7 linked regions of the Oryctolagus cuniculus genome follow. The protein of the gene in region 6 interacts with the protein of the main gene of each other region in a biochemical or structural test. Links are inferred from orthologs where the notes say so. Each region holds a gene or a part of one and is shown on either strand. Other genes may lie near its edges.

Region 1 (3,500 bases), on a different chromosome or scaffold from region 6:
ACCACCCCATGGCACACGGCGCGGCCAAGACACACAGCGGATGAAGGGCAGGCCCTGAGTGGAGATACCAGGAGCCAGGCCAGGCCCCAACCACAGCCTGCACCCAGAGCCACAGACTCCCTGGCACCACTGATGAGCAAATGCAGACCAGGCACCTGCCGCGTGGTGCAAAATCTAAACTCGGCCGCCTGGAGCAGGCCACCAGGGCCGTGGGAGAGAGGAGACGCCCAGCCAGGCTGTCCCTCACCTGCTACAAGGGGGACAGTTCCCAACAGCACCACGGACGCCAACCGGCTCGCCGGAAACTGCCCAGGTCATCAAAGCCGGCAGTGGTTTTTCCCCAGAGCCCTGGAGAGCGGGCAGAGCCGCTGGCTGCTCAGCCACGACCCTCGCCTTTCGCCCCCGGCAGTGCCGCTACCCGGGGCTGAGCCCTGGCCAAGCCGCTGCCCCATGGGTCTCACCTGGGGACTGAAATGCCTCACACCAGGGGGTGGGGGGGCAGCGCAGAGAAAAGCCCCCACCTGCCCCTAATCAGTTACAGCCGCCCCTCCCTCGAGCTGGTTAGAATCAAGCAGGCAAACGCCCGGTGCCTCCATTCGCTCCCTGATGGAAACACGTGGGGCTTCAGCACTCCCCAGCAAACTGTCCACAGGATTAAGGTGAACGTGAGCCCTCCGAGGCTGAGTAGGCTGCAAGGCGCGGAGCAGCTCCGAGGGCTGTTAAGTGCCAGGGGAACCCGGCGGCCAGGGCTGCACCTGCTGGGAGCTCCCCAGGCCAGGATCGGGGAGAACACCCTTCTCACCAGTGCCCGGCGGGGTCTTGGGGGAGGGCGTGGTTTTCGCGGGAATCCTGGTGGCGTTGGCTGCGCCTTTCTGGCCTGGAGGGGCAGCTCCCCGGGGTGTGGCGATCTTCGTTCCAGTTTTCCCATCAGCCCCCTGTAAACCGAATCAGGGTAGAGTGGTTTTTACCGTGCCAAGGAGGACTGCCACCTAGCGCCAATGCCAGCCCCGTTCCGCCACCAGGACTCTGAGGAGGCCACGACCGGGACATCCCTTTGCCTACCAGATGCCACAAGGGCCTTCTGTCACACAAGCCCACAGCACCACCCACCTGCCCGCATCTCCACTTCCTCCCAGAGGAGCCCTCAGCGTGGTGATCAGCAGGAGTCCTGCCAACGATTCCCGTGGGAGCCATTGGTGTGGCCCCTTGGGCAGGCACGGGCACACCGGGCCGCGGTGGCCCCATTGCTGCCTCTCATTATGGGTTTATTTGGTGCTGGCTGCTTCCTCAGAGGCCCTTGGAGACACTGTTTGTGGAGCCCGACCCAAGAATGCTGCAGAGCGAAGCCACTCTTCCGTTCTCTCCCAAGCGACACCGAGACGTCAGGTGTGCTCGGGGCCCGGGGTGACGAGCAAGACCTGGCACAGGTGGGGGGCAGCTGTGGGTTTGGTTCCTCAGAGGCGCCCGTGAGACACACACAGCACAGACTCCAGTGAGAAACTGACACTAGCCAGGGAGCAGGAGCTGGTTCGGGAGGGACAGGTGTGGCCGCCAAGGGTGAACCAGAGGCACTTCCGGTTACCAAAGTCAGGAGGAGCCCAATTAGAGGGGCGGTTGCCAAGCCAGGGTCCCAGCAGGTGTCTTGGGGGCTGCTGCTGCGAGGGGCCCGGGCAGCGGAGAGGCATGGCCTCGAGCCCCCTGCCCCTGGCCCGAGTCCCGGCGAGTCTGCACGTGCGGCTGTGCCACCGCTCCTCGGGGGGAGGGAGGAGGTCTCAGCGCCTGGAGGACTGAGCACTCGGGCAGCCTGCTCTTTCCAGAGGTCGAGTCCTTACCTTGAGCTTCATCTCCTTTGTTCCAGAACTGCCATTTCGGGGTGTGACAGAAGAGACGTGTTTAGGAGAGGAAGCTGGCTCTGGGCACACGGCAGGGCTGGAGGGTTTGATCAAAGGGTCTGAGCTACCAGGAGAGGGGCGTTTGGGGCTAGGGCAGGGCCTAGTTCTCTGGGTGTTAGCAGAGGAAGGTGTGGATGGCTTAAACACAAACATAAATAAAATCAAAACAAAAGTCAGCACATGGCGAGGGAAACAAACTCAAAGATGGACAGCAACTAAAAATAAATAAGGCAGGTCCCTGCTTAACGCGGTCATCCCCCAACGGTTCACATCCGGGTCCCTCAGCAGCCCCTCTGATGGGCAGGAACAGGAAATGTGAGCCCTCCTCATCCGACAGCCACGGCCACGTGCACGTGATGTTCCTCACTCCCACGCGGCGGCGCTTGCAACAGCAAGCGTGCAAGATGGACAGAGGTCTGGGTGCCCTTTCTCCACCCTGGGGTCTTCCTGAGCCCCTCCAACTTAGGACAGCCCCGGCTCAGAGGTGCTTCTCAGGCGCTAACGCAGTGGACGTGGCCAAGGCACGTTTCCCAGGGGAGCATTCCCACACTGCCACGGGCCAGATGCGCCACCCAGAGGGGCGCTCACGTTTGCCCACTGGCCCTGGGCCTCTTCCCACACTGGCGGAACCCTGTGCCTGCCCTGAGTCCTGACGATGCCGGCGGCAGCGCTGAGGCTGGGTGTGTGCTTGCACACGTACGCACATCCCGGCAGAAGTCTCCGGCAGATCGGATCTTAACGCCGCCTGGGGCATCCTAGTTGGGCTGAAGCGGACTCTGGCACTTGGACCTAAGGTTTTAGCCTGGCTGGGGTGGGTGCCCCATGGGACTGGGGGCCACGTGGCTGGAGGCGCTCCGAGAGGGAGCGACGACACCTAAAGGATGGCCGTGACTCCACGGTTTGTCCTGACTGCCTCTGTGGGAGTCTGACCAGGAAGCGTGGCCCCGGGAGAGGAAGGGGAGAGGGAATTTTACTCTGCATCACCAGGAATCAAAGAGGCTACGTCCAGAGGGTCCCACGGAAGGAGTCAGCTGCAAAGCAGGGGCACGGGGCTTCCCGGTGAGGCCTCGGGGCACGCGCCAAGGCGGAAAAGCTGGCCCGGGCACTGGCAACCCTCCTTCCCCAGCTGCACAAGGCCCCTCCCCACACCTGGCCACGGTCTGCTTGCTAGTCTGTGAGGCAACTCCAGGGCAGAGAGGCTGGGCCTGGGTGTGTGCCGACTGAGCGGATGAATACATGCACGCATGAATGAGTGGGTGCCTGCATGAGGCTGGCGTCCCCCCCACCCCCACAGGGGGGCCCTCAGCACCTCCCTCCCGGGCCAGCCCTGACTGCGGGCCTGATGAAAGGCCGCATGTTCCAGGCAGGACTCCTGCTGCAATCATTAGCTTCCTTTAAGGGAAACAGGCTTTCCCTAGGGCCACGGTGGGACTTGCAGAAAAACACCACTGTGCGGTTACGGGAGCCTCTTCCAAGTCACATCATCATGGAGCAAGGGACCACGGGGAAGGGAGAGGTGGAAGGGGCCGGGCCACCAGGCTGCTTCACCGGCCGCTGCCGGCTGCACACCGCAGATGGACGAGGGCCGTGGGGCCTGCGCCTCTCCGC
Region 2 (4,183 bases), on a different chromosome or scaffold from region 6:
TTTTGAGACAGAAGGGATTTCCAGACCTTTATTATTGAAACACAAAAATACTTCAAAATCTCAGTGTTAGAGTTTTGAATTGAAAGTATGAATGTAATTCCTGTCTAAAAAGCAAAAATGTAAAGTTCAATGGAGATTTTAATTGAATTTTTATCATCAAAATTTTTTCTAAGACTACACATGGTATAAATAAAATCATGCAATATAAATAAGTAAAAGAATTTAATGCCAAGTAATTTCTCCATAATCAGTTTTATACCAATAAATTCAAATAAATTCAATCCTCATGTCAAGGAAATGGGGGGAACACTATATTTCAAAAGTATAAGAAATCAACATTTTATTAGAATGAAATCTTTACATAACATGTAATCTTTACATATAACCAACGGCTTTCTGGCTAATAAAAGTAAACAAAAGATCATATTTGTCTGTTATTTTACATACTGTGCCATAACACACCTCTTAGACAAAGGGAGGAGCCTTCATAACTACACTGTAAAACCAAAAATTAAGCATGGACGACTCAGTTCCTCAATTCTGTCTGCTTCCACCCCAGTCTTCTCGGTCTGTGTCAAGGGATGACACTAAACAAGTTTTGTATTTACACTGGTTGCTCTTATACTACATTTACAGCTCATGAAAGTGAATAGAGGGCTGATGTTTGCCAGATTATTTATCCGAAAACCTAGGTCTCATGAAATTAGGTAAAATTAATCTCTCAAACTGGGGATTAAAAAGTTCACTTGCAGTAACAACTGCCTTCAAAGAGTGATACTAGTTAAGTTTGAATCTAATCCACATAGAAACAGGAAAGTACAGGGGAATGTTTTTAATGCCAATTTACACGTACAAGTGCACACGGAAAAATACCAGTCCCAGACCTCCCCTCCGTCTCAACACTGCCATGGTATGGCGCTGAGCATAGTTTTAAGGTTTCTTTGGGGGGGGGCACATCCACATAATAAACTGATTTTAAAGAACTGACCAAAGGCACAAAAAGTGCCACTGGCTTTAGATATCTAAGCAAAACCACAGATTCCCACTGTCAAACTCCTCACAATAAAACACACTTCATTCCCATCACCAAGTTCCAGAATTCCAAAGGGCGACGAGCGACTGTCACAAAAACATTTCCTGCAAGACTTCGCGCTCTGCACACACTAGTCAGATTCCTGTGACCACGATCAAGGATTACGGCTGTCACACTCACAATCATCTTACACACACACACTTTGCAGGAGCCAAAGCAGGGCGAGGCCAAAGCACAGCGGGTCCCAATGACCTTCCAGACACGCAGCGGAGGGCTTCCCCGAGCCGCAGCCCGCAACACCGGCGCCCCAGAACTGCGGGCAGCCCCGCAGCCGCGCGGAGCAGGAAGCACCGCGCCCGCGCCGCGGCCCCGGGGCCACGCCGGAGGGACTGGGGAGCCGTCACCGCCGCTTTCAAACTGAATGGCTGACACATCCGGTCCTGGCTCCGGCACCACTCCGCCGAACGCAAACTTCAAAGGCCACATTCAAACTCCGAGCAGGGATCCCTCGCGTCTTCGCGGTGCAACTTTGCATTCCCGAAGAGCACCCACAGACCCCTGGGGGACGAGGTTCGAAAACCCGCACGTCCTGCAAGGCTGCAAGCGCCCACGAGCCTGCAGTCCGTGGAGCAGCGCTTTGACAGGGGTTACCGGGCCGTGCACCGCGCCCGGGACCGGCTCCCAGTACCTGCCCTGAGACTCCAGGCCCCCGGCGGGCCGCGGGGCGCTGCCTGTCACGTCCCCGGGGACCTGCCGCTTTCTCCTCGGCCCTGCCTCTCTGCCCCCACCAGCCCCGACCTTGGGCTCCCCACCCACCCTGCAGCACGATGGGGCCTCGCCCCCCAAGCCCCCCGCCCCGGGGACACCGTTTTGGGGCGCCGCGGCCGGCCTTCTCCCCGCCCCCTCGGCTTGGCCTCGGGACGCCGCGCCCTGGCTCCTCGGAGAGCCCCGACCTCGGCAGCCCCACAAAGCCAGCCGGGGGGCCCCCCACACCTTTTCGCCACGGGTCCCCGCAGCGCGGCTCGCACGCCTGTCACATGTCTGCAAACAATAACAAACTCCCGCACGCCCCCGTCCCGTGCCCCAGCCGGGGTTCTGGGGCGCCGCCCGCCTCCAGAGGGGGTCGGGGGAGTTTGGGGGCGCAGGTCCCGGCGAGCAGCGCGCGGTCCCGCTGCGCCGAGCCCCAGGACGCCGTGCGCGCCGCCCGGGGTTCATTCATTGCCCGTCCGCCCGCCCCCCCAAGTCCCCGCCGCGCTGCTCACCCAGCGGGGGCCACTGCAGGAGGCTGCTCTGCGGCGGGCGCCCGCTTCTCCCCGGGCTCGGCCCCCGCGGGGCTCGGGGCGCCTGTGTCCGGCGCGGCCGCCGGCTCGGCAGGGTGGGCGCCGCCGCCTGCCGCTCCGTGAGGCGGCGGCACCGCCACCGGCTGGAAGCCGCTCGCACCCGCCGCTGCGTCCGAGGGCTCCGGAGACGGAGACGTGGAAGAGGACGGCGGCGAGGCGCCGAAGAAGAGCGGCGGCTCGGGCAGCTGGTCCAGCTCCACACTCCGCACTTTGCGCAGCTGCCGCCGCCGCCAGTCCGCCCGCTCGCGGCCCGCGCTGCCCGTCTCCCGCAGCAGCCCCGCGGCTGCCACGGGCGCGCTGCCCGCCTTGAGGGCCCCTCCGCCGCCGCCCGCCTCGGGGCTCGCCGCCCTGGCGCCCGGGAATCCCGACGACGAGGCGCGATTCCCCGCCGCCGCCGCCATTTTCTCTCGCGGGCTACATTCGCTCGGCCCCTGCGAGGGAGGGAGGGGGCGGGGAGAGCGCAGGGGGCGGGCGGACGGACGGGCGGGCGCTGCGCCGCCGGCGTAGGGCCGCTGCGCCAACTGCGTGAGCGCCGCCCGCCGGGCGCCCGGCCTGGGTGACGGGCGTGCGGACTGGCCCGCGACGGTGGCGGAGGCGGCGGCCGCAGGTGGGAAGGAGCGGGCGTTGCGCTCGGCCCCGCGCGGGCGGGCTGCGTGGGCTCGGCGGTGTCGGCTGCGGGGGCGCTCTGGGCTGTGCGCGTTGCCCCCGCGGCGCTGCCAGGTAGTGCGGGCCGCACCGGCGACAGGAGGAGCCTCGCGCCGCGGTCTCGCCCCGGCTTGCCCGGAGCTCGCTACAGAAATCAATGCACTGGAACTCGGGGGTGCGGTCCGTCAGCCGCACGGCCCCTGGCTGTGAGCGTCGGGGAACTCGGGCGCAGACCGGCCTCCCCCTACCCCCAGACCCTGCCGCGGCTCCGCTCCGGAGGTGGCGCAGGTGGTGCCCGGGGCTGTCGCACGCTGCAAAGCGAAAGCAAACCCGGGGTGCTGCGGCCCGAAAAGCTCAAGTTGTGTTTCGGCTTAAAGACAAGAGTGCCTCCCCTCAGGTCCCCTGCCCCACCGCGCCGTTCCCAGGGACGAACACGAGAGCTGCCCGTAACACCTTGTCCACCTCCTGACACCGCCGGGCGCGAGGGAGACCCCGAGCGGCGGGGGTCCCTGCCGCTGTCTCGCTCGGCCTCGAGCCGCTCCGAGCGCGTCTGGGGGCAGGAACCAGCGCCGTGCCAGGAAGTGCGCGCTCCTGTCACCCGCGGCCGGCGCCCGGCCCTCGGCGGCTGCGACGCCGCTCGCCGCACGTCTCTCTCGCCGGCGGGACCGGGCGGCCGCCGGGGTCCCCTCCGCCCCGCGGGCCCTGGGAGCCTCCGCGGAGAAGCTCACCTTTGCGTGTTAGCGGTTTTAGACGCCTACCCCCCCACACCCCTATTTTTTTTTTCCCCCGACAGAGCTCTGCGTCGCGTTTCTGTCCCCTCTCGTCTGCGCTGGGCAATCTCCCAGGAGCAGCGTCTCTAGATTTATTGTGCGGAGTAGTTAATGGAAGCATCGGAGAGGGAGCTGCCCTCGCGTAGAGACGAGGGAGCCTTCGTGCTGGTCTTCGTATACAGCTATACCTGAACCGTCTGCTAGATAATTCCTTTGACTTCCCAGGTGTAATGTTAAGTGGGGGACAAGGTGATGCCACGTGGACTTTAGAAAGGGTCCTGGTTTCCTAGTAGCGCAGTGCTTCTGCTGCTGCTGTCCCGCCCGCCCGTCACAGGATAGCTTGAGATTGCTACATCCAATGGTACACATTTTGAAACTTTAGGTAAATCTGTTAG
Region 3 (4,049 bases), on a different chromosome or scaffold from region 6:
CCAGAGCACCCTGCAGGAGGGGTGAGGGGTGACTATCCCCCAGCCCACCCCTGGCCGCCCCGAGCTACTCCGCTTCTCCCCGAGAGTCCCAGGGCCGGCGCCTCTGCCAGTGTCCCCTGAGCCCAGAGCCCTCTCGGCTCCGCTGTGCTAGGCGGAGCCACGGCCGCGGGCACCTGCTCGGCTGGAAGCCTGTTTCCGGGAGCAAGGTTTCTCTCTGGTGACCACGGTGCTTTCTGCTTTCTTTGGCTTGCACCTGCTGTGCCTGAAGTTCTGTGGACACAGACAGAGGGCTCCAGGCAGGCACTAGGAGTGCGGTTTCGGATGCAGGTTTCCTAGCCCTCTGGCCCGAACTGAAGGTCAAGGGCCCCAGAGCTCCCTCCCCAGGAAACACGCGGCACCGCACAGCTTCTCCCTAGAAAATTTTATTGGTCCTGACAGCCTGGCCTCCGGCAGGTCCCACAAACCCTCACTTTTTCCCGTTGGCGTTAATGGGGCGGTTCACGTGTTCGGGCGAGGCCAGGAAGGCCTTGAGCTTGGGCCGGGCACTGAGGCGGGCCACGTAGGCCGAGAGCAGGGGGAAGGCGTCCAGGCAGCCGGGGGCCAGGATCTGGTGCGTTAGCAACAAGTCCAGCAGGTTGTAGTCGGCGAAGGAGATCTGCCAGGGGAGGGGACGGGGTCTCAGCCAGTGGGACGGGCCTGAGCCCCTTCCTCACCCCCTAGGGCGGCCCCACCTTGCTGAAGCAGTGATGTGCACCTGTTACCGGCTACAGAGAGTGAGCGGGGCCGGAGGGCAAGCGAGTGGGGCCGGAGGGCAGGCGGGCAGGCCGGGGGCTCACCTGGTCGCCCACGATGAAGGACTTGCCATCCTTGTTCTGGGACAGCAGGGTCTCAAAAGGCTTGAGGTGCCCGGGCAGGGCCTTCACGTAGCTGTCCTTGCCCGCGTCCTGCCAGAAACACAAAGCCGCTGGCACCACCTGCCCTCCCAGCGCCCACCCCCCCAGGGCCTGGCACTGCCCCCTGGCGGGGGACCCAGGGCTGCCTGCTGCTCCTCCCCTCAGCCCCCTCCCCACCATCAGAGGCTGGTTCTTCTGTCTCCCCACCCCCGCTAGGATTTTTCACCAGATCCCCCCACCCCGGAAGCTTCCAGACACAGACCTGCTGAGCGTGGCCCCCATTCCACTGCCCTCAGGGGACTCCACACGGTCAGGTTCAAGGTCTTCATCAGGACCTGGGCCTGCCACCCCCCCCCGGCCTGTCTCCCACCACCCCCGGCTTGTGTGCATGGACTCACCCTCTGCTGACCTGGCCCCTGCTGTGTGCACACCTTACTCAGCAAGAGCACCGGTGCCCGCCAGTCACCAGGACGCACCTGCCCCCGCTGCCTCCCGCCCTTGCAACTCGGCCCTGGCCAAGGGGCCCCCTCCCTGGACTGTGCTCATGCCCCACGCAGTGGGGGCGGGAGTGTGTCCGGCCGAAGCAGGCTGGTGAGCCCTGACCGCGGGCAAGGTCGGCCGGAGACCCATGCGGGCTGGGGTCAGGGCTAAAGGCTGCCGGGGCCCAGGCTCACGTAGTTGGTGTAGATGAGGGTGATGTACTTGATGCGCAGGTCCTCCACGCCGTCATTCACCATGTCCAGCAGGGCGGCCTCCCGCTGGTCCTTCCCATAGATCCCTGGGGCAGAGTGGGGGGGAGCGGCCAGTGTGACTGACACCTGACCCACCCCGCACCCCGGCTGACGCACTGGCGGCCACGTGGCTGCACAGCCCAGAGAGGAGGGGCAGCTGACCCTCATTCAAGTGCTGCCCAGGACAATGGGAGCTGGCGGGCAGAGAGCGAGGGCTCGAGCCAGGCCCAGACCCCGTGCCTGTCCACTTCCTCCCCTTGGGGAAGAAGGCGGGCAGAGCTAGCTCAGGACCAATGGCGGCCGCACACACGCCCCCAGCCTGGGGGGGGGGGGTCGGGACTCACCGAGGGTGCGGCCCAGGTGGCGCAGGATGGCATTGGACTGGTACAGGGTGAGGTCTCCGTCCTGCAACTTGGGCAGCTGCCCGTACAGCTGGAGAAAGGGCGCGGCTCTGTGAGCTCGATGCCCCGCTGCAGGCCCTGCCCCCGCCCCGGGCTGGGCGCCCTCACTCACACAGGAGGCCTTGAGGGAGCCCTGCGACCAGGTCTCCAGGTTCACCACCTCCTCCTTCCAGCTCTGGCCCTGGTCGGTCAGCAGCATGCGCATGGCCTCGCAGCGCCCTGGGGATGAGGAGGACGGAGCGGTGGGGTGGGCGCGGGACCCAGGCAGGGAGGCCCCGGGCACAGAGGGTCTCCCGCGGCCACCCCATCCCCCCATCCCCTCTCTTCCGCGTCCCGACGCCTACCTTGAACTGGGAAGTAGACGATGGTGTAGGGCGGCACTGGGGGGCGACAGAGAAGTGGATGAGGGGCTGCGCGCAGGGTCCGCTGCGGAGCGGAGGGCGCCGCTGCGCTCCCTGGGGTCCCTCCGCTGCGCCGCGGCCCCCCGGGAGCCCCCAGCCCCGGGCTACGGTCTACCCGGGCCCCCGAGACCCCCGCCCGGCGTTGGAACGGGCGGCCTCGTGCCCCATCCCCGCTCTCAGAGCCCCTCGGAGTCCAGCGGCGCGGACTCACTGTTTGCGGTGTGGACGCGGTGGACGCGGGCAGATTTGCAGGCTGCTGCGTGGAAGGCGGGCGGCGGCAGCGGAGCTCGGGCGCAGGGCCAGCGGCCCCGAGCCTTATTAGGGTCGGCCCGCCCCGGCCCGCCCCGGCCGGCCCCCGCTCCGCCCCCCGTGCTGAGTCATTGTGGGCTCTGCCCGCGCCGCGACCCCGGGATTGGAACGGAAGCGCCTTTGTCCGTGCCGGGCGCCGGTGGTGTGGGCGGGGGTCCCCAGGCCTGGATGGGCCAAAGTAGGGCAGGCGGGGACAGGCACGGCTTGGCGACCAGCAGGTGAAATTCTGCCCACCGTGGTCTGGGCCGGGTCGCCATCCCCGGAGAGCTCCCTCCGGGCGCCGGGTCCAGGGGCCTGGGCCTAGGTGGTCTCTGATCCTGCCGTGTCTCACCCCTAGTCCCCAGTCCCTTTACCCCGGTCCTGTCTGGTCTGGCTGGACGGGCTCATTGGACCTGGAAATGATCTAAAAGCAACTTGGATTTTTCCTTCCGCGATCCTCAGGCTTTAGTGAACCACAAACAACAAAGAAAATAAAGCCAAGGAGCAGGTGTATTTTAATATTTTAATATCAAAGACCGGGACGCTGCTCTTTCCTGTTGTCCCTGCACACTGGGGGCTGCACCCCATCATGGCACTCACACGCTCCCGCCGCCCCGCGTGGGCACCTGCTCAGCCCCCTCGCCATGCCGTCACAGGCGTGCACACGCTCAGTGTCCCAGGCACCAGGGACAGCCAGACCTGCCCCTCTCAGGAGACAGCGGGGGGGGGGGGGGGGGGTCCTGTCTCCCTCTCCCCTCCCCCATTCCAGCAGCCTGGCTCCACCCACAGCTGGCTGGTTCCCCACCGATGCCCTTGGACCGTGAGGCTTGTCTACGGGTCACTGCTCACTACAGCTTGGCCCCGCCCCGCTCCGTCCACACTGCCGGCACAGGATGGCCCTGGGCTGTTATGCCTGCATGTGCTGCTGCACAAGTGTGCACCTGTGTGTGCACCTGTGTGTGTGCCTGTGTGTGCCTGTGTGTGCCTGTATAACTGTGTGTATCTGTGCACCTGTGTGTGTGCCTGCGTGTATCTGTGCACCTGTGTGTTTGTATAACTGTGTGTACCTGCGTGTGTGCCTGTGTGTGCCTGTATAACTGTGTGTATCTGTGCACCTGTGTGTGTGCCTGTGTGTGCACCTGTGTGTGTGCCTGCGTGTATCTGTGCACCTGTGTGTTTCCCTGTATAACTGTGTGTACCTGCGTGTGTGCCTGTGTGTATCTGTGTGCTCCTGTGTGTGTACATACGCACACACAGAGAGACACACAGGCACATGTGCACACACAGAGACACACAGGCACACACAGACACCACATGCATACACAGAGACACATG
Region 4 (4,180 bases), on a different chromosome or scaffold from region 6:
CTGGAGTGGCAGAGCCAAGGTAGCTAGAGTCTAAACAAAGGTTGAGATCCTGAGGTCGGACGGGCCTAGACAGTGCCACTACTACCCTGTCGTCTAAAGGAGACGGAGGCATGAGGAGGCTGAAAACTGGCAATTCAAGAAGAACTCAAGATAGTCTGTAAAGAAGGGGGAGGGGAAAGAAAGAATAAAAACACGTGATACAAAAGGCAGTCTCATCCAATCCCTAGGAAAGGCCTTTGCATCCCTCGGAGCAGAGTAGTCCCAAGTGCCCTTTATCTTGCCGCTATCAAAGCTTGGATGTATTCATAGGAGGATGCAAATCTGAGGGCCCCCATCAGTTTTGCTGTGAAGTCTAGGGTTCGATTCAGACTTAATGTTGTAAATGTTAATGAGCAACCTGTCATGGACTGACATCAAAGTTCAGTCTCGGAGAAGGTACAAGCACCAAGAATTAGGAAAGCTGAAGACAGAAAGGAAGGTTCTTAAGAGGCATCTATTTTGAGCCTCACGCCCTGAGCAGAGGATTCTGCAACTGAGAAAGCCCTGATTGCCTACCTTCGAATGCTTCCCACTTCATCCCTTCACTCCCTGCAAAGCCAGAGGGATGACGAAGAGCATTGCCAAGGCTTACAGAAATATACAGCAGCTAAATACACATTAGGGCGGATGTCAACTTTCTGCACCTGAGAGGGAAAGGATTCCCCTAAGTGAACCTCTTTGGCCAGGAGCGAGTCTTGCTTTCCATTCTGTTGGGTCCTTTGAAACGCACAACATAGTCATATTAAAACCTCACAGGCTTTCTGGTAGCCTCATTAATTAATCTGCATCCCCCCCCCCCTTTGCACTAAACACTGGTGTCCTAAAACAAAATCTGAAGCGAAGGAGTTATCTATGGAAACCCCTCCCCCCCATCCTTCCTGCACTCCTGCCCTCTTCATCTCCCCTGCTATGCATCCTGGAGCTTTTCTCAGTGGGTAGCAGCTGCTTTGTATAGGATTTTAATCCCATACAGATATCTGCCCCTTGGAGAGTAAGGATGGGATAAAGACTTCCCTTTTAGCGTGTCCCTGTTGAAGGGAGGCAGGGAAGTGGAGACCAGGAGTCTACCCCTGATGTCTTCAGAGACCACCTGAACAGGAATGGTCCCTTCCTACCTGTGGGCTCAGGGACACCCTACAACTCGACCCCACTGACTCCTCTATCAGACATGCACACAGCAAAGAAACCAAACCCCGAGCAAGAGCCGCTCACCCAAACGAACTTCAAGAGCTGTCCGGGAAAAATGTCATCTATCATCCGTCTACACACGATCGTCACCATTCTCTGACACAGAGCCAAAGTGTTCACAGGCGGAATCCGCACACACACGCGCGCACATAGGGGCATGCACCCACCACCAGGTCCGCAGGTCCCCACTGACTCGGGTGTCGCTCTCTCACACACACTGCTCCCTTGCGTATGCGTAGTATTTTTTTTTTTTTTTTTTTGGAGGAGCGAGTACTATTCCATATTCTAAAAGCTGTAACTGTGTCCCAGCGGGACCAAGCAGCCGAAGTCTTTGCTATTGTGTTACCTGGTGGGGCACGTCCAGGATCCACAGTCTGCTTCCTCCGAGAGGGGCGCGCCAGCGCTTCCGCAGGCTCGCGCGCCGGGACCCCCGCCTCCACACGGGGTGCGCGGCCCGCACACACGCACCGGGCGTGCGGACAGATCTGCAGCCCTGCAGCAGACGGTCGGGCGTCTGTGCTGCGCGTGAAACCATCCAGTCTGGCCCAGGAAACCTCCCGGAGAAACCTCGAACTGAGCCCCCCTGCCCTGGCCAGCCGCCCTTCCGCCGCTAGGCAGGGGCTGGAAAGAAAAACTAAGTGATTAGCCCGTGCTCCTTGCCCGCTCCGAGGGCACGGAACGTGGCCCCCTCCTCGCCGCCGCACGGCGCGTGGAGAAGCCCCGGGCATTTAGTAGAACTGCCGCAAAGCATCCCAACAAACCTCGCTTTTGCTTCGCCCCCCGACTCGAGTAGGCTGCAGGGCGAGTAATCGCACCGGGCAGCGGGGCCAGGAGCCCCAAGCTCGGAAGCGTACCTGCTGGGGCTCCTCGGTCAGCATCGCGCCTCCCTCTCCCCTCTCTCACGCACACACACACACTCACACACACACGCACAGACACGCACCTCCACTCCCGGGCTCTCCAGAGTGGCCCCGGCGACTTCCACTTACTTCATCAATAAGTGTAGCCTTCCACCCCCCGGCGCTCGGTTTCAGCTAAGGACTCGCACCTTCAGCCCCCATTCACTTGGCTTCATTGATCTCCAGCAGCAACATAGTTACTTTCTCTTTTGCTACACTGTAAATGTAAGATTCTGAGGGGGCGGGCTGGCCTGCGACCGACGGCGCATTGGGCCAGTAGGAATCCGGAGAAAACCGACCGCTACCTCATAGAGGCCCGCGGCCAATGGGCGGCCGAGGGGGGCGGAGCTGTGGGCGTGGCCTCGCCTCGTCAGGGCGGGTTTATCCGACGCGGCTCCAGGTCCTCTGTGTTAGAACACGGGCGGTGATGTCATTGGCAACCAATCAAAAACTTAAAAGAGCCAGCCGGGGCCCGCGCGGAGCAGCTGCTCTCTATTTACATGTAAGCCGGCGCGGCCCGCCGCCTTAACCCTTTCCGGGGCTGAATTGTCAATGGGCGGCTCGGGCTAAACCAGGCTCTTCCCTCCTCGACCGGATCCTCCGTCCACACGCCCCTCGCCCTGAGACCCGCCGCGCGGCCTCCTCATCTCTCCTCCCTCCTTTGGACTGACGGCCCAAAGTGCCGGAGTAACTTTCTGAAGGCCGGGGACCACGGACAACCTCCGGCTCCACCTGGGAGAGCTGTGACCTGACAGACCCTCCCCGGGATTCGCCCACTTTTGCCAAGACTCCCCCCCTGGGATGCCTCGGAGCCCGCCCGCGAGCGGCGCCCCCTCCCCGCCCGCCCTGGGCCACGCACCGAGGGCCCCGACTCCGGAGCCGCCGCGGGCCGGCGGCCACTCGGCCCCTCCTCCTCCGGGCGGCCCGCAGATGTCGCTGCCCCACCGGCGGCCCCACTGGTACCCCGCGCAGCGGCAGCGCGCCTCCTTCTTGTTCTCCGGTATCCGCGACCCGGTCACGCCCCCGCCGTCGCCTGCCTGGGCCCCCGGGCTCGACCCTGAGCTCACAGGTGGCGCGGCGGAGGGCTGCTCGGAGGAGGCAGAGGCCTGGGGCCACGTCCGCTACGACCGCGGTCGGGCGCTGAGCCGCTGCACCGCTGCGGTTCCCCTGGGCCCGGCGCCCCGCGCCCCGCAGCGCACCGCCCAGGGCCCCAGAACCTCGCCCCAGTGGGCGCCCACCCCGTCTCCCCCGCGGCGCGTCGGGTCTCCGCAGCCCGCCTGCCGTGCTGGCCTCGGCCGCCGCCCCTCCACCCAGCACGGTCCCCGGCGAGCGGAGGACCGCCAGCCCGGCGCTTCTGGAACAGCGGCCGCGGGCGGCAAAGAGCCGGAGCCCAGCGTCCACAGCCTGGCTGCACGGAGCCGGAGGAGCGCCGAGGAGCCCGCGCCGCCGCTCGCCGTGCCCCCGACTTGGGCCGGCAGAAGGGTCCCCTGCCGGTGCGCAGGGGACACGAGTCGGGGCCGGGGCAAGCTGCTGGTCGCCGCCTCAGGAAAATGCCAGGAGAATTTCAGGAAAGTTGCCCTGGAAAACAAAACGGATTGGAAAAACCCAGATGAACTGTGGAGATATTACAACAAAGAATCCTGAAGAAAGAGAGCTTTTTCTCCCTCCCCTGCACCCCTGTCTCAGGGAGGAGGGGGCACAAAGCGAAATAATGACGATGCAGTAAAACAGGATGAACACTATGGAAATAGATGGCTGTGATTTTTTTTTTCTCCCCCTCTCTGTCTCTTCATTAACTGATTGGAGGTATTTAGAGAAAGGCTTCAGTCTCCAGGCCTAACAAATAGACTAAGTGGTAGGGCATATTTATATAATTGCTTGCAATGTGGGTCTGAAACCAGGAGGGGTCAAGCCATGACTAGCTGGCCAACTGTGCCCACTGAGCTGTTGGAAGAAATCCCCCTGGACACCTCTGCATAAGTGCAGGCCCATACACAGTCCAACTTCTCACACTAAAGTTTGAACAAGCATCAAGTGCCTCTGAGTGTTTTAAA
Region 5 (4,191 bases), on a different chromosome or scaffold from region 6:
GTGCCACTCCCGGGAAAGGGCTCTGGGCTCCTGGCCGGCCGCCGGGTGATGCAGCAAAGCAGGCCCGCTCACCGGCCCGAGCTCCCCCTCCTCCAAGGGAAGGAGCTTGAGGCACTCACACTGGGCCACAGGACCTGCTCTGCCCCGCGGGGGCTGGCGATGCCCGGGCTCGCCGTGAGCCCCCAGGGGCTCTGCCCTGACTGCCACACCGTCTCAGCACAGTCCTCCACGTGCCACATCCGGAACCCACCCGCTTCCCCAAGCAGCCGCGGCGGCCCAGAGAGGAGACGAGGCTGGGTGCAGGGGCCTCTCCCGGGACCCCACCATCTCCAGCCACTGTCACCCCAGGGCTCCAGCCGCCAGGACGCGCCCAGAACCTCCCAGGGTGCTGGCTGTGAGGCAGGGGACGGCTGCTCTCTTGGGTCAAGGCCTTCGGGAGACCCCTGCCGCTCTGTCGGCTCAGGTTCCCGACTCTGACTAAGCCTTCTTGGCCGGCGGCTGGGCCGGGCCTCGGCCGACAGCTCAGCCAACTCTGCACCACACCACGCCTGCACCGGTGACCTCCAGCCCTTGTGTTATCACACACCTCCGTGATCAGAGGCCTTTCCCGCAGACCCCTGCTTGCGGTGACAAGGGAGCCGGGATGCTGCGTGTACGGCATCAGCCCCGTCCTCACCAGGGCCTCCTGGTGCCATCACGGCTGGCCGGCCACCCACCCTTTCCCACAGCCCTCCGCAGCTTCTCCAACAGCTGGGGCAGCGGCGGGTGAGCCGGCCTGCACACCACACGCACACCCAGCGGCTCTCAGTCCCCAGAGCACTGGCGGGAGGGTGGACGCGTCCATCCTGGCGGCTCCATCCCAGCCCGGAGCTGCCCTCTGACCCCCTGCAGCGCGGGAAGGTGCGTCCTGGCCTGGTGCCCAGGGCTGTGCATGTGACCTTGGGCAGCCCCCCACTTCTTGGGGCCAGCTGCTCCCCTGCGAAGCACCCCAGATCTCCGTAAGCTCTCACACTCCAGCTCTGGCAACCCTGACGTGGAGAACGTCACACCAGCTTTGGTGGCGGCAACCAGACGGGAACCCGGGAAGCAAAGCCAACCAGAGCCGGCAGGGATGACGCCAGACAGGACACCGGCGCCTTTCACAAACACGCGTGACGCGAACCAGGCCATAAACCGCTGCGGCTTAGAGAAAAAGAAAAAAAAAGCCAAGACACTGGCACCGCCTCACGGCTGAGCACCGAAGCCAAGAACGCTAGGCCCAGTTAACCAGGAAGGAACCCGAACTCCTCTGCCCCCCCCCCCCCATCCACAAGCCCAAGAGAACCGCGGGACCTCCTCCCCGCAGTCTCTGGGCTCAGACCCACCCGGACAACTCGCTCCTCCGCCCGACGGGCAGGTGACCAGGGCCAAGGTCACGGGGAGGGAGCCCACGGCCCCCGCACCCCCTGCGCTGGGTCCGGCCGCCGCCGCGCTCGGCATCCCTGGCGCCCCCGGACCAGCGACTCCCGGTTAGGGACGCATCCAACGCCGCCGCCCCCCTCCCCCTCCCCCGTCCCCACAGGCTGCTCTGGGTCCTCGGGGGCCGGAGCCGGCGACCCCGGCCCCGCACCCCCTTCGCTCGGCCCTGGGACGGCCGCCGCCGACCCCGGCCCCGCACCCGTCGCGCTCGGCATCCCTGGCGAGGGGGTCAGGCTAAGCGATGCTCCCCGCGGCCCCGGACCGGCGACTCCCGGGCTAGGGCCGCCCCGGCCCCGGCCGCGCGCCCTCGCCCCGGCCCCGGCCCCGGCCCCGCGCCCCCGCCCCCGCCCCCGCCCCGGCCCCGGCCCCGGCCCCGGCCCCCGCCCCGGCCCAGCCGCGCGCACCTCCTCGCCCCCGGCCCCGGCCCCGGCCCCCGCCCCGGCCCGGCCGCGCGCACCTCCCCGCCCCGGCCCCGGCCCGGCCCGGCCGCGCGCACCTCCCCGCCCCGGCCCCGGCCCGGCCCGGCCGCGCGCACCTCCCCGGCCCCGGCCCCGGCCCCGGCCGCGCGCACCTCCCCGGCCCCGGCCCCGGCCCCGGCCCGGCCGCGCGCACCTCCCCGCCCCGGCCCCGGCCCGGCCCGGCCGCGCGCACCTCCCCGGCCCCGGCCCCGGCCCCGGCCGCGCGCACCTCCCCGGCCCCGGCCCCGGCCCCGGCCCGGCCGCGCGCACCTCCCCGGCCCCGGCCCGGCCCCGGCCCGGCCGCGCGCACCTCCCCGCCCCGGCCCCGGCCCCGGCCCGGCCGCGCGCACCTCCCCGCCCCGGCCCCGGCCCGGCCCGGCCGCGCGCACCTCCTCGGCCTGCTTGCGCAGCGCCTTCTCGCGCTCGTACTGCGTGAGCAGCTGCTCGTTGTCCTCGCGCAGCAGCTCCAGCTCCACCTCGTGCTCCTGGTTCTCGCTGAGCACCGAGTCCAGGTTCTCCAGCACGTTCACCACCAGCGGCATCAGCTCCTTGACCACCTCCTCGTCGTAGCAGTGGATGAGGCGCTCGAACTCGCGGTAGATGGAGCCCGCCAGGCCCGACACGCGCTCCGACATCACCGAGCCCGAGCAGTAGTCGTCCTGGTAGACCACCACGCCGCCGCCCTCGTCCATCGGGATCTCCATCATCGCGGCCACCGCCGCCGCCAGCGCGGCCCGCTGTCCGGCCGGCGCGCCCGGCCCGCCCTGGCTGCCCGGGGGTGCGCAGGCCGCGGCGTCGCCTCGGGCGCCGCCGCCGCTGAGGGGGAGGCTGAGGCGACTCTGCTGCCGCTGCCGCTGCCGCCGCTGCCGCCGCTGCCGCTGCCGCGCCCGTCACTCAGCCGCCGGAAGTCCCGCCCCCGCCGCGCCGCCGGGGGTCGCAGCGCCGTGACGTCAGCGGAAGCGGGCTCCGCGCCGGAAGCGCACCGGAGCCGGAAGGGCGGTTTGCGGCCGCGCCGGGCGGTGCGCGCGGACGGCGGCTTCCAGGCCGTAGCGGGTCGGGGGCTCCCGGGTGACCGCGCCCTCCGCTCGCCCGGGAAGCGGCCTGCGGCCCGCACCCCGGGCCGACCCCGGCGCGGCTCTTGTCGGCCGTGGGCACGTGTCGAGGCCACCTAGTGGGTTTCCAAGTATCCGCTTTTTGTTTCTCTGATCTCGTTCAAAACTGTCGGAAACGGGGTCGAGACGCGTCTGTTAAAAGCAGGGACTCCGTGCCCGGGAGGGGCGGGCGTCGAGGCGCGTCCAGCCCAGCCCGCGGGGTCGCGGGGGTCGCGGAGCCAGCCCCTGCCGGTGCGCCCGGGACCCGGCTGGGGCTCCTGGCTTCGGCCGGCCGCTGGGGGATGAACCAGCTGATGGGAGATCTTTGTCTGAAAGTGCCTTTTATGCAAGAAGTTTTTTCATCAACCATTTTTAAAAATTTTTTCAAAAGATTATTTGAAAGACTTGGAGACCGAGAGGGAGGCCTTCCAGCCCCCGTTCCCTGCCCCCAGGGCTGGGCTAGGCTGAAGGCTTTATCCGTCGCCCCGTCCTCTGTGCTTTCCCAGGCACGGGCTGGAGGTGGAGCCGCCAGGACAGGGACGCTGGCGCGGCCGGCGGTGGCGTCCTGAGCCCTGCCTTGATAGGTGCGCATCTCTTAGGTTTTCAGTTCTCTCCTTTTTTAATCTAAATCTGGTACCTGCAGCCTTCGGGGCGCGGCCCGCAGTCAGCCCCTGGAGGCCTGTGTGTGACCACACACCCAGACGTTGTGAACCCAGGACTTCACTTACATTAGGGACGGCTTAGAGTCGGCCCCGAGCCTCTCATCCTGACCTGCACCACGGCCGCCCTGGAGCCGATCCCTCCCCGTCACCCAGCGGGCTGCGCGCCCCGGGCTGAAGTCCCGCGTCAGGCGGCCTGGGCTCTGCGCGCCCCGGGCTGAAGTCCCGCGTCAGGCGGCCTGGGCTCTGCGCGCCCCGCGTCAGGCGGCCTGGGCTCTGCGCGCCCCGGGTTGAAGTCCCGCGTCTGGCGGCCTGGGCTCTGCGCGCCCCGGGCTGAAGTCCCGCGTCTGGCGGCCTGGGCTCTGCGCGCCCCGGGCTGAAGTCCCGCGTCAGGCGGCCTGGGCTCTGCGCGCCCCGGGCTGAAGTCCCGCGTCAGGCGGCCTGGGCTCTGCGCGCCCCGGGTTGAAGTCCCGCGTTCAGGCGGCCTGGGCTCTGCGCGCCCCGGGCTGAAGTCCCGCGTCAGGC
Region 6 (3,500 bases):
AATTGTTGATAAGAAACTGAAATATTCATAGGCTGCATCTGGCAGCAGGACATACAGTCTCTGCTGGTAGTCAGAGCACATTCACTGTCACTCATTTTTATTTTATACTGCTTTTTATAATTTGAAAGTATACATGGTGTGCGTGACTTTTTTTTAATGTTTATTTTTTTTTATTTTAACCAAAATCTTTATGTTAATGTCATTGCATTTTGTTTTCAGTTGACATTTGGTCAGTTGGGTGCATCATGGGAGAAATGATCAAAGGTGGTGTTTTGTTCCCAGGTACAGATCGTATCCTTATCTTTGGCCTAAAGTGTAGTTTCTAAAGGTCAAAATGTATGACAGCTGGGTCAGGTATAATGCATCTGTCTCTCCCTAATATAAGCATTGTTAAATTATTCTTTCAAAATACCACCTGCTATTGGCATAGACTTCTCCTTTCCCTCATTGATTGTTTCATAAGTTAATACTGAAACCTGCTCAAGTGTAATCACCCATAATTACTGGCTGGCTTTGAGTTGATTTATTGAACTAAATCAAAAGTCATGGCTTGCATTAAAAATTTCTAATAATACACTTGAGTAAGTCTAAAAACACCTACAACTTAATATGAATTTTGGAATTATCTGTTGCATCTGGCCATCCTTCTGTTTTGTCTGTTCCCCCCCACACTTTTTGTTACTGTGTGTATTTGTGTTTTTTGATTGTTGTCTCATCACTCAACATACTGATTCTTTCATCTGAGAATTTCAGCAGCAGTAGTTTTATGTGGTGGTGGTTAAATTTTGGTTCATGCTTTTTGTTCATCTGACTGCTTTCCATATTCATATTAACACTGATCTCTTAAGTTTTTGTTAACTGGTAATGCTTAGAATTCTTTAGGGAGGAAGAATGAGAAAGGTCACTTTGAGTTTTAGAATGAGGACTTCAGGGTCTTGGAATTCTGTAAAAGCTAGGAAAAAGGAAAACAGGGAATCCTAACCTTAAAATTTATTGAAGTTGCGGATCTGTTTCATAAGTTTCAGAACTTTACAGAAAATTAACATCGGATAAATAAAGAATGGCAAAGGAAAATGCCGCTTTTATCAAAGCCACAATTTTTCTTGCTACTGATTATTCTCTCTTGGTGTGGAAAACTCAAAGGCAAAACAGATTGTAGAAATATTTCTTATTCTCTAGGAAATGCATTCAAATTTTCTGATAATTTAGAAGAAAATGGCAATTTTGTATGTTAAAATTATGTATAGTTTACATTTAGAATCCCAGTGGATAGTAATAACCATGAGTTTTTTGTTTGAGTTACTTATAATTAATGTTTACAGTGTGGTCAGGTTCAGCTTCTGCTTTTATGGTGAAATCAGTCTGTACACACACAGACACACACACAGTCAACAGGGTCGGCAGAGCTCATTCACTGATCGTTTCTGTCACCTACCGTCAGTGCCTTTTGCAAGGTGGCTGTGAGATACAAAATTTATAACCGCCACATTCTTTCTTGGGATTTTAGAAATTTCCATTTTCTTGTATTTTAATGTGGATATAACTAATGTGTCGAACATTAGATACAGAGTATTTTTCTTAGCTACTTGATATTAGATATTGATCAGTGGAATAAAGTTATTGAACAGCTGGGAACACCATGTCCTGAGTTCATGAAGAAACTACAACCAACAGTAAGGACTTACGTGGAAAACAGACCTAAGTATGCCGGATATAGCTTTGAGAGGCTCTTCCCCGATGTGCTTTTCCCAGCTGACTCGGAACACAACAAGCTTAAAGGTACTTTTTACAAACATGTCGTCCCATTTCATGTGTGGGGTGTGTGCGTATTCATATTCTTATGGGACATAAACCCAAGGTTATCTGTGGATGGTGGGATGAAGTGAGGTTTTAGTTATTTTTATCTTTAATTTTATATTTCTAATCCTATGTATGACCTGATGCTATAGTAAAATTTATTGTTTTTAAAACATAGGCTTTTAAAATAAAAGATAATATCAGGTTTCTGAAAATTTATTGATAAATTGAGAACCTTTCTGAGTACAAGCATGGTAACATCATTATGTTTACAGCCAGTCAGGCAAGGGATTTGCTCTCTAAAATGCTGGTGATAGATGCATCTAAGAGGATCTCTGTAGACGAAGCTCTCCAGCACCCATACATCAATGTCTGGTACGATCCCTCTGAAGCAGAAGCCGTAAGTTCTTTCTTAATGTTTGAAGAATATGCTGCATTTTTAGAGTTGGCATTAAGTTACATTTGCAGGAGACCTTGTACTTTTAAGTAAAAAAATAGGAATGTTATAATGGTGTTTTCTATTTTTACATGAAGAGCGCCTTAAGCTAAGGTCATGTCCAAGCCACACCTATACAAAATCAAGTCACCCCCTAGTATTTCTTGCCTTGATACCTGATCAGAGGGACAGAGAGGCTAGGATATTGAATGCTCTGGGAAACGTCTTACCTTAGAAAAAAATTATCTTATCCAAAGCCTTGCAAAGTTCTGTGATATAAATGTGCAACAAAGTCAAAAGCTGGAGCAAAAGATAAGCATCATTCTTTCTGCAGTGAAGGAATCTTCCAAAACTGGTCTGTCTATATATATAAGAAGGTTGTTGACGATTGATCAGTCTTGGTCTAATGGTGCATTTTTACAAGTCTCCTGTCTGATTGATAATACTCCCAATAAACTGTCTCCATTATTGTTGCTTTGTGTTTTCCAGCCACCACCAAAGATTCCTGACAAACAGTTAGACGAAAGGGAACACACGATAGAAGAATGGAAAGGTAACATTTATCAGATTCTTAGAAAATTGAAAGAGCTTCTGCCTCTTTGAAATGTGATTTGTTCATCATGTTAGGGAAATTAATGATATTTTTCCATTATTCATAACTGGTATTTATTGATAATATGATACCTAATGTTTTTACAACAGTGGAAAGTATGTCCCTTTCTCTCACTGACCAAATTTTAATTTTCCAAGTTCTCTACCCAAACACAAATACACATTAGTGTTTCTCTTGAATTTTTCCTTAGTCTGTAAAAATGCAGCTGTATTTGGTGTATGCCCTCTCCCTTCTCCTACCGTTTGTAAGTCACAGATTGTTCTACACTATGTGTACTATGCACACTTGCCTTGTTGCAATAATCATACATCTTGAAGGTGTTTCTCGGTTCATGTGACTGCCCCATTTGGTTCTGCTCTGTGATGTATCACAATTTCTATATCCAGCTGCCTCTTGAAGAGCATTTTCATTGAGTCTAGTCTATTACATTGATAGACAACTCTACAGTATTCCTGTGCACATGCGAGAATAGGCCTTTAAGAAACATTCCAGGAAATGTGCTGTGTCAAAGGATATTTTTCAGTTATTTCTAACTAATCCCCACAAAAATTTTAGTTGTATCATATAGCTAAGTGTCAGTCAGTGGTTCCCCCTCCCTTTTCAACAGAATGCTAACAGATTAAGAAATTAATAGTATAGTAATCTTTTCTGTTG
Region 7 (2,905 bases), on a different chromosome or scaffold from region 6:
CCACTAAGCGGCCGTGGGCACAGGTGCCTGCCTGGGCTGCCGCTCCCCGGGGAGGACGTCGGCCGAGTGCCCTGTTCTCACTGGGAAGTGGTCACTCCAGGAGGAACTGCGGGGTCCCTGACCGCCGGGGACTCGCCTCACCTAGGGGCCTTGCCTCCTGCTGCGTGGGGGCCTCATCTCTAGAGAACACAATGCAAGCCACAGCCTTTGAATGTAACCAGCCCCGGGAATAAACCAGCTGAGGGCGGCTCTCCGGTTGTCTCGTGGTGCGGTCGGTGGAGACGCAAACAGGCACAAACCCCTTTGACCCTTCCCCCCGAATTCTGGAACACCGCGTTCCTGCCGCAGTAGTTCTGCCCGACACGGTCCCCGGATACCGCGGAGAGCCCCCCACACACCTTAGAGCCCCCCGGCTCCTGCCTCACCCGGTCCCGGCACAGCCTTTCCCGTTAGCTGAACCCCCGCCCCGCCCCCTCAGGCAAGTACACGGAAGCGCTTCATTTAAAAAACCAAATCCTTTAATAAACAAAATGAGTCCATCCGAAACTCCCAGTCTCTGGTTCTCCGACGAGTTAGCTGCAAAGTCCCAATCAAGCCACCGGAGGCCGTCCGGACGGGGCTGGTCTGAGCGCGCGGGCCGCGCCGCCGCCGCCCGGCAGTCCTCCGGGCAGTCCCCCGCCCCGCCGGGGCGAACGGAGCCGGGCTGTGCGGCCGCCAACGACGAGAGGGGCAGCGCGTCTCCCGCCGAGGCCTGGAAGCCGCAGACGGGTGTCCCAGTCCTGGGCTGCGGCCGCCGAGGGCCTCACCTTCAGGGCTGCCCGCTCGGCCCCGCAGGCCGTCTTCCGCAGGCGCCGCGGCCGCCCCGCAGCCCCGCAGCGTGGGGCGGCTGAGTCACGAGCCCGGCCCGAGGCGCGTGCAGGTGCGCGGCGCGGGGGAGGGGCAGCGGCCGTGGCTCAGCTCTTTCCGTGAGAGCGGTGGTGGCCCTTAAAAGGGCCTTTGTGGTGGCGCGGGGCGGGCGGCCGCGGCGCGGGCCCCTCAGTACTCCTGCGAGGCCTGCGTGGCCTTCTTGCCGCCCGAAGGCGCCTTCGGCCCCACGGTGGCGCTGGTCTTCTTGGGCAGCAGCACGGCCTGGATGTTGGGCAGGACGCCTCCCTGGGCGATCGTCACGCCGCCCAGCAGCTTGTTGAGCTCCTCGTCGTTGCGGATGGCCAGCTGCAGGTGGCGGGGGATGATGCGCGTCTTCTTGTTGTCGCGCGCCGCGTTGCCCGCCAGCTCCAGGATCTCGGCCGTCAGGTACTCGAGCACGGCCGCCAGGTACACCGGGGCGCCGGCGCCCACGCGCTCGGCGTAGTGGCCCTTCCGCAGCAGCCGGTGCACGCGGCCCACCGGGAACTGCAGGCCGGCGCGCGAAGAGCGCGACTTGGCCTTGGCGCGGGCCTTGCCGCCGGTCTTGCCGCGGCCGGACATGGTGCGCGAGGTAGAACGGCACGAAGCGACGCCCGGACGGAAGCCCCCAACAGCCAACCGCCGCAGTCCAACTGCCGGCGCGCGCGCGGCGGGGCCGCCCTTATATGCCCCTAGGGCACACCCCCTGCGCTCTCCTGATTGGCTCTTTTTTCTAGTACCCGCCTCCGGTTGGCTGAGGTTAACCCTTCGGGGACGCGCCTCGGCTGAGGGAGCGCGCCCGCCGATTGGTCGAATTTGAAAACCTTTTGCCCGGGTAAGAAGGTGAGGAAGCGTGCGGGCCGGCTGACAGGCAGCCACTCCGGACGCGGCCAATCCGCGCAAAGCGCGCGAGATTTAAACGTGGCAGGCGGAGACTAGAACCGGAAGACGAAAGGGGTGGAGCCAGACCCCGTGCTGGCCTGGGGTTTTTAAAGGAAAGGACTAGATTCTGCTACCTCAGCTTTCCCATCTAAGTCTGGGGGCGCCCTACTCCCGCCCCCTCCGAATAGGCCGAAGGAGAGTGCAAAAAGGGACGATCCCACGTCGGAAGACAGGCCACTCCCACCTTAAGGCCCCCTGTGCCGCCGGGAGCTTTCCTGTCAGGTCTCAGTTGTGTTCTCGCTGGGAAGGGTCTGAAAGAGCAGCCACAGGCACAGGCCTCCGCTTGGAGGTCCTCTCCCCGCGCCCTTCCCTGTTTTCCTAAAATGCCCCCATAGGAAATATACGTACAGAAACAAGAAAAAAGACCCTTTATTGTCACTGACGGGAGCGTCGGGTGCCCCGTCTGCCTTTACTAATCAGAATACTTCATTTAGAGTCGAGAGTCAAGCCCCCTTCCAGCCCGTGTCCCTTCCCTAGCCCAGGTTCTGCCCCAAGGCCCAGCACATCCCTTGAGCTGCAGGACCCTGAGAGTCGAGTTGTGGGTAACCGTCCAAAATCCGCTGCAGCCCAGAGATGCGAGGGCGGGAGAGCGGCCAGCTGAGGTGGGGAGCCACAGGTGAAGTCTCAGTGGCCTTCGCCAGAGGGCAAGAAAGGCCCCGGATGTCCATGATCACAGGGGAAGGGGAAGCAGCCTTGGTCCAGACAGGGGTCAGGGCAGGACCCCTGGAGACTCTGAGGTGAGGGCCAACACCCAGGGCACTCAGACATCATAGAAGAGCCGGACAAGCTGGTATCGGATGGAGAAGGTGAGAGCGCTGCCCACGACCTGCAAGAGAAATGGACTGGCGTGAGGTCCGTCGAGAAAGAGCCACAAGGAAGTACAAACGCCATCCCCATGCCCGACCTCACCTGCAGCAGCAGCAGGAGCAAGGTGAGGTTCCGCTCATGGATGGGCCCGCAGACCTTAAGCAGCAGGTTGATGAGGGTCAAGTTGTTACACTCGGTGAAGTGGCCGTCCTCGCTCTCGCTCTGGCGCACCGCCACCAGCCGGAGCCTCTCTGCTACCTGCGGGGACCAG

The links.
Region 1: of the proteins of MAPK8 (region 6) and MAPT, one has a biochemical effect on the other in vitro, tested with the Homo sapiens proteins (2 studies listed by BioGRID). The link is inferred for Oryctolagus cuniculus from reciprocal best matches to the Homo sapiens genes MAPK8 and MAPT.
Region 2: of the proteins of MAPK8 (region 6) and MAP3K1, one has a biochemical effect on the other in vitro, tested with the Homo sapiens proteins (3 studies listed by BioGRID, with this or other methods). The link is inferred for Oryctolagus cuniculus from reciprocal best matches to the Homo sapiens genes MAPK8 and MAP3K1.
Region 3: the proteins of MAPK8 (region 6) and GSTP1 form a complex in vitro, tested with the Homo sapiens proteins (2 studies listed by BioGRID). The link is inferred for Oryctolagus cuniculus from reciprocal best matches to the Homo sapiens genes MAPK8 and GSTP1.
Region 4: the proteins of MAPK8 (region 6) and DUSP10 form a complex in vitro, tested with the Homo sapiens proteins (2 studies listed by BioGRID, with this or other methods). The link is inferred for Oryctolagus cuniculus from reciprocal best matches to the Homo sapiens genes MAPK8 and DUSP10.
Region 5: the proteins of MAPK8 (region 6) and MAPK8IP3 form a complex in vitro, tested with the Homo sapiens proteins (3 studies listed by BioGRID, with this or other methods). The link is inferred for Oryctolagus cuniculus from reciprocal best matches to the Homo sapiens genes MAPK8 and MAPK8IP3.
Region 7: the proteins of MAPK8 (region 6) and H2AX form a complex in vitro, tested with the Homo sapiens proteins (2 studies listed by BioGRID, with this or other methods). The link is inferred for Oryctolagus cuniculus from reciprocal best matches to the Homo sapiens genes MAPK8 and H2AX.

Annotation. Positions count from the first base shown.
Region 1 is NC_091448.1:17,246,876-17,250,375, forward strand, and holds part of MAPT (microtubule-associated protein tau), read right to left. Parts: intron 2,031-3,500; coding exon 1,833-2,030; intron 936-1,832; coding exon 803-935; intron 1-802. UniProt on the Homo sapiens protein: Promotes microtubule assembly and stability, and might be involved in the establishment and maintenance of neuronal polarity.
Region 2 is NC_091445.1:77,490,529-77,494,711, reverse strand, and holds the start of MAP3K1 (mitogen-activated protein kinase kinase kinase 1), read right to left. Parts: upstream 2,801-4,183; 5' UTR 2,775-2,800; coding exon 2,296-2,774; intron 1-2,295. UniProt on the Homo sapiens protein: Component of a protein kinase signal transduction cascade. Activates the ERK and JNK kinase pathways by phosphorylation of MAP2K1 and MAP2K4. May phosphorylate the MAPK8/JNK1 kinase.
Region 3 is NC_091432.1:4,531,876-4,535,924, forward strand, and holds GSTP1 (glutathione S-transferase P), read right to left. Parts: upstream 2,801-4,049; 5' UTR 2,639-2,800; coding exon 2,638-2,638; intron 2,406-2,637; coding exon 2,370-2,405; intron 2,245-2,369; coding exon 2,138-2,244; intron 2,057-2,137; coding exon 1,969-2,056; intron 1,672-1,968; coding exon 1,568-1,671; intron 945-1,567; coding exon 837-944; intron 656-836; coding exon 467-655; 3' UTR 407-466; downstream 1-406. UniProt on the Homo sapiens protein: Conjugation of reduced glutathione to a wide number of exogenous and endogenous hydrophobic electrophiles. Involved in the formation of glutathione conjugates of both prostaglandin A2 (PGA2) and prostaglandin J2 (PGJ2).
Region 4 is NC_091444.1:36,078,647-36,082,826, forward strand, and holds the start of DUSP10 (dual specificity protein phosphatase 10), read right to left. Parts: upstream 2,801-4,180; 5' UTR 2,276-2,800; exon of another isoform or gene 2,171-2,275; intron 2,095-2,170; exon of another isoform or gene 1,574-2,094; intron 156-1,573; 5' UTR 113-155; coding exon 1-112. Other genes in the region: uncharacterized protein, read left to right, coding at 2,928-3,770. UniProt on the Homo sapiens protein: Protein phosphatase involved in the inactivation of MAP kinases. Has a specificity for the MAPK11/MAPK12/MAPK13/MAPK14 subfamily. It preferably dephosphorylates p38.
Region 5 is NC_091450.1:33,432,118-33,436,308, forward strand, and holds the start of MAPK8IP3 (C-Jun-amino-terminal kinase-interacting protein 3), read right to left. Parts: upstream 2,801-4,191; 5' UTR 2,624-2,800; coding exon 2,306-2,623; intron 1-2,305.
Region 6 is NC_091446.1:81,421,328-81,424,827, forward strand, and holds part of MAPK8 (mitogen-activated protein kinase 8), read left to right. Parts: intron 1-219; coding exon 220-291; intron 292-1,596; coding exon 1,597-1,779; intron 1,780-2,072; coding exon 2,073-2,197; intron 2,198-2,722; coding exon 2,723-2,786; intron 2,787-3,500. UniProt on the Homo sapiens protein: Serine/threonine-protein kinase involved in various processes such as cell proliferation, differentiation, migration, transformation and programmed cell death.
Region 7 is NC_091432.1:111,204,176-111,207,080, reverse strand, and holds H2AX (histone H2AX), read right to left. Parts: upstream 1,556-2,905; 5' UTR 1,468-1,555; coding exon 1,036-1,467; 3' UTR 501-1,035; downstream 1-500. Other genes in the region: HMBS (porphobilinogen deaminase), read left to right, coding at 1-7; DPAGT1 (UDP-N-acetylglucosamine--dolichyl-phosphate N-acetylglucosaminephosphotransferase), read right to left, coding at 2,588-2,653, 2,737-2,892. UniProt on the Homo sapiens protein: Variant histone H2A which replaces conventional H2A in a subset of nucleosomes. Nucleosomes wrap and compact DNA into chromatin, limiting DNA accessibility to the cellular machineries which require DNA as a template.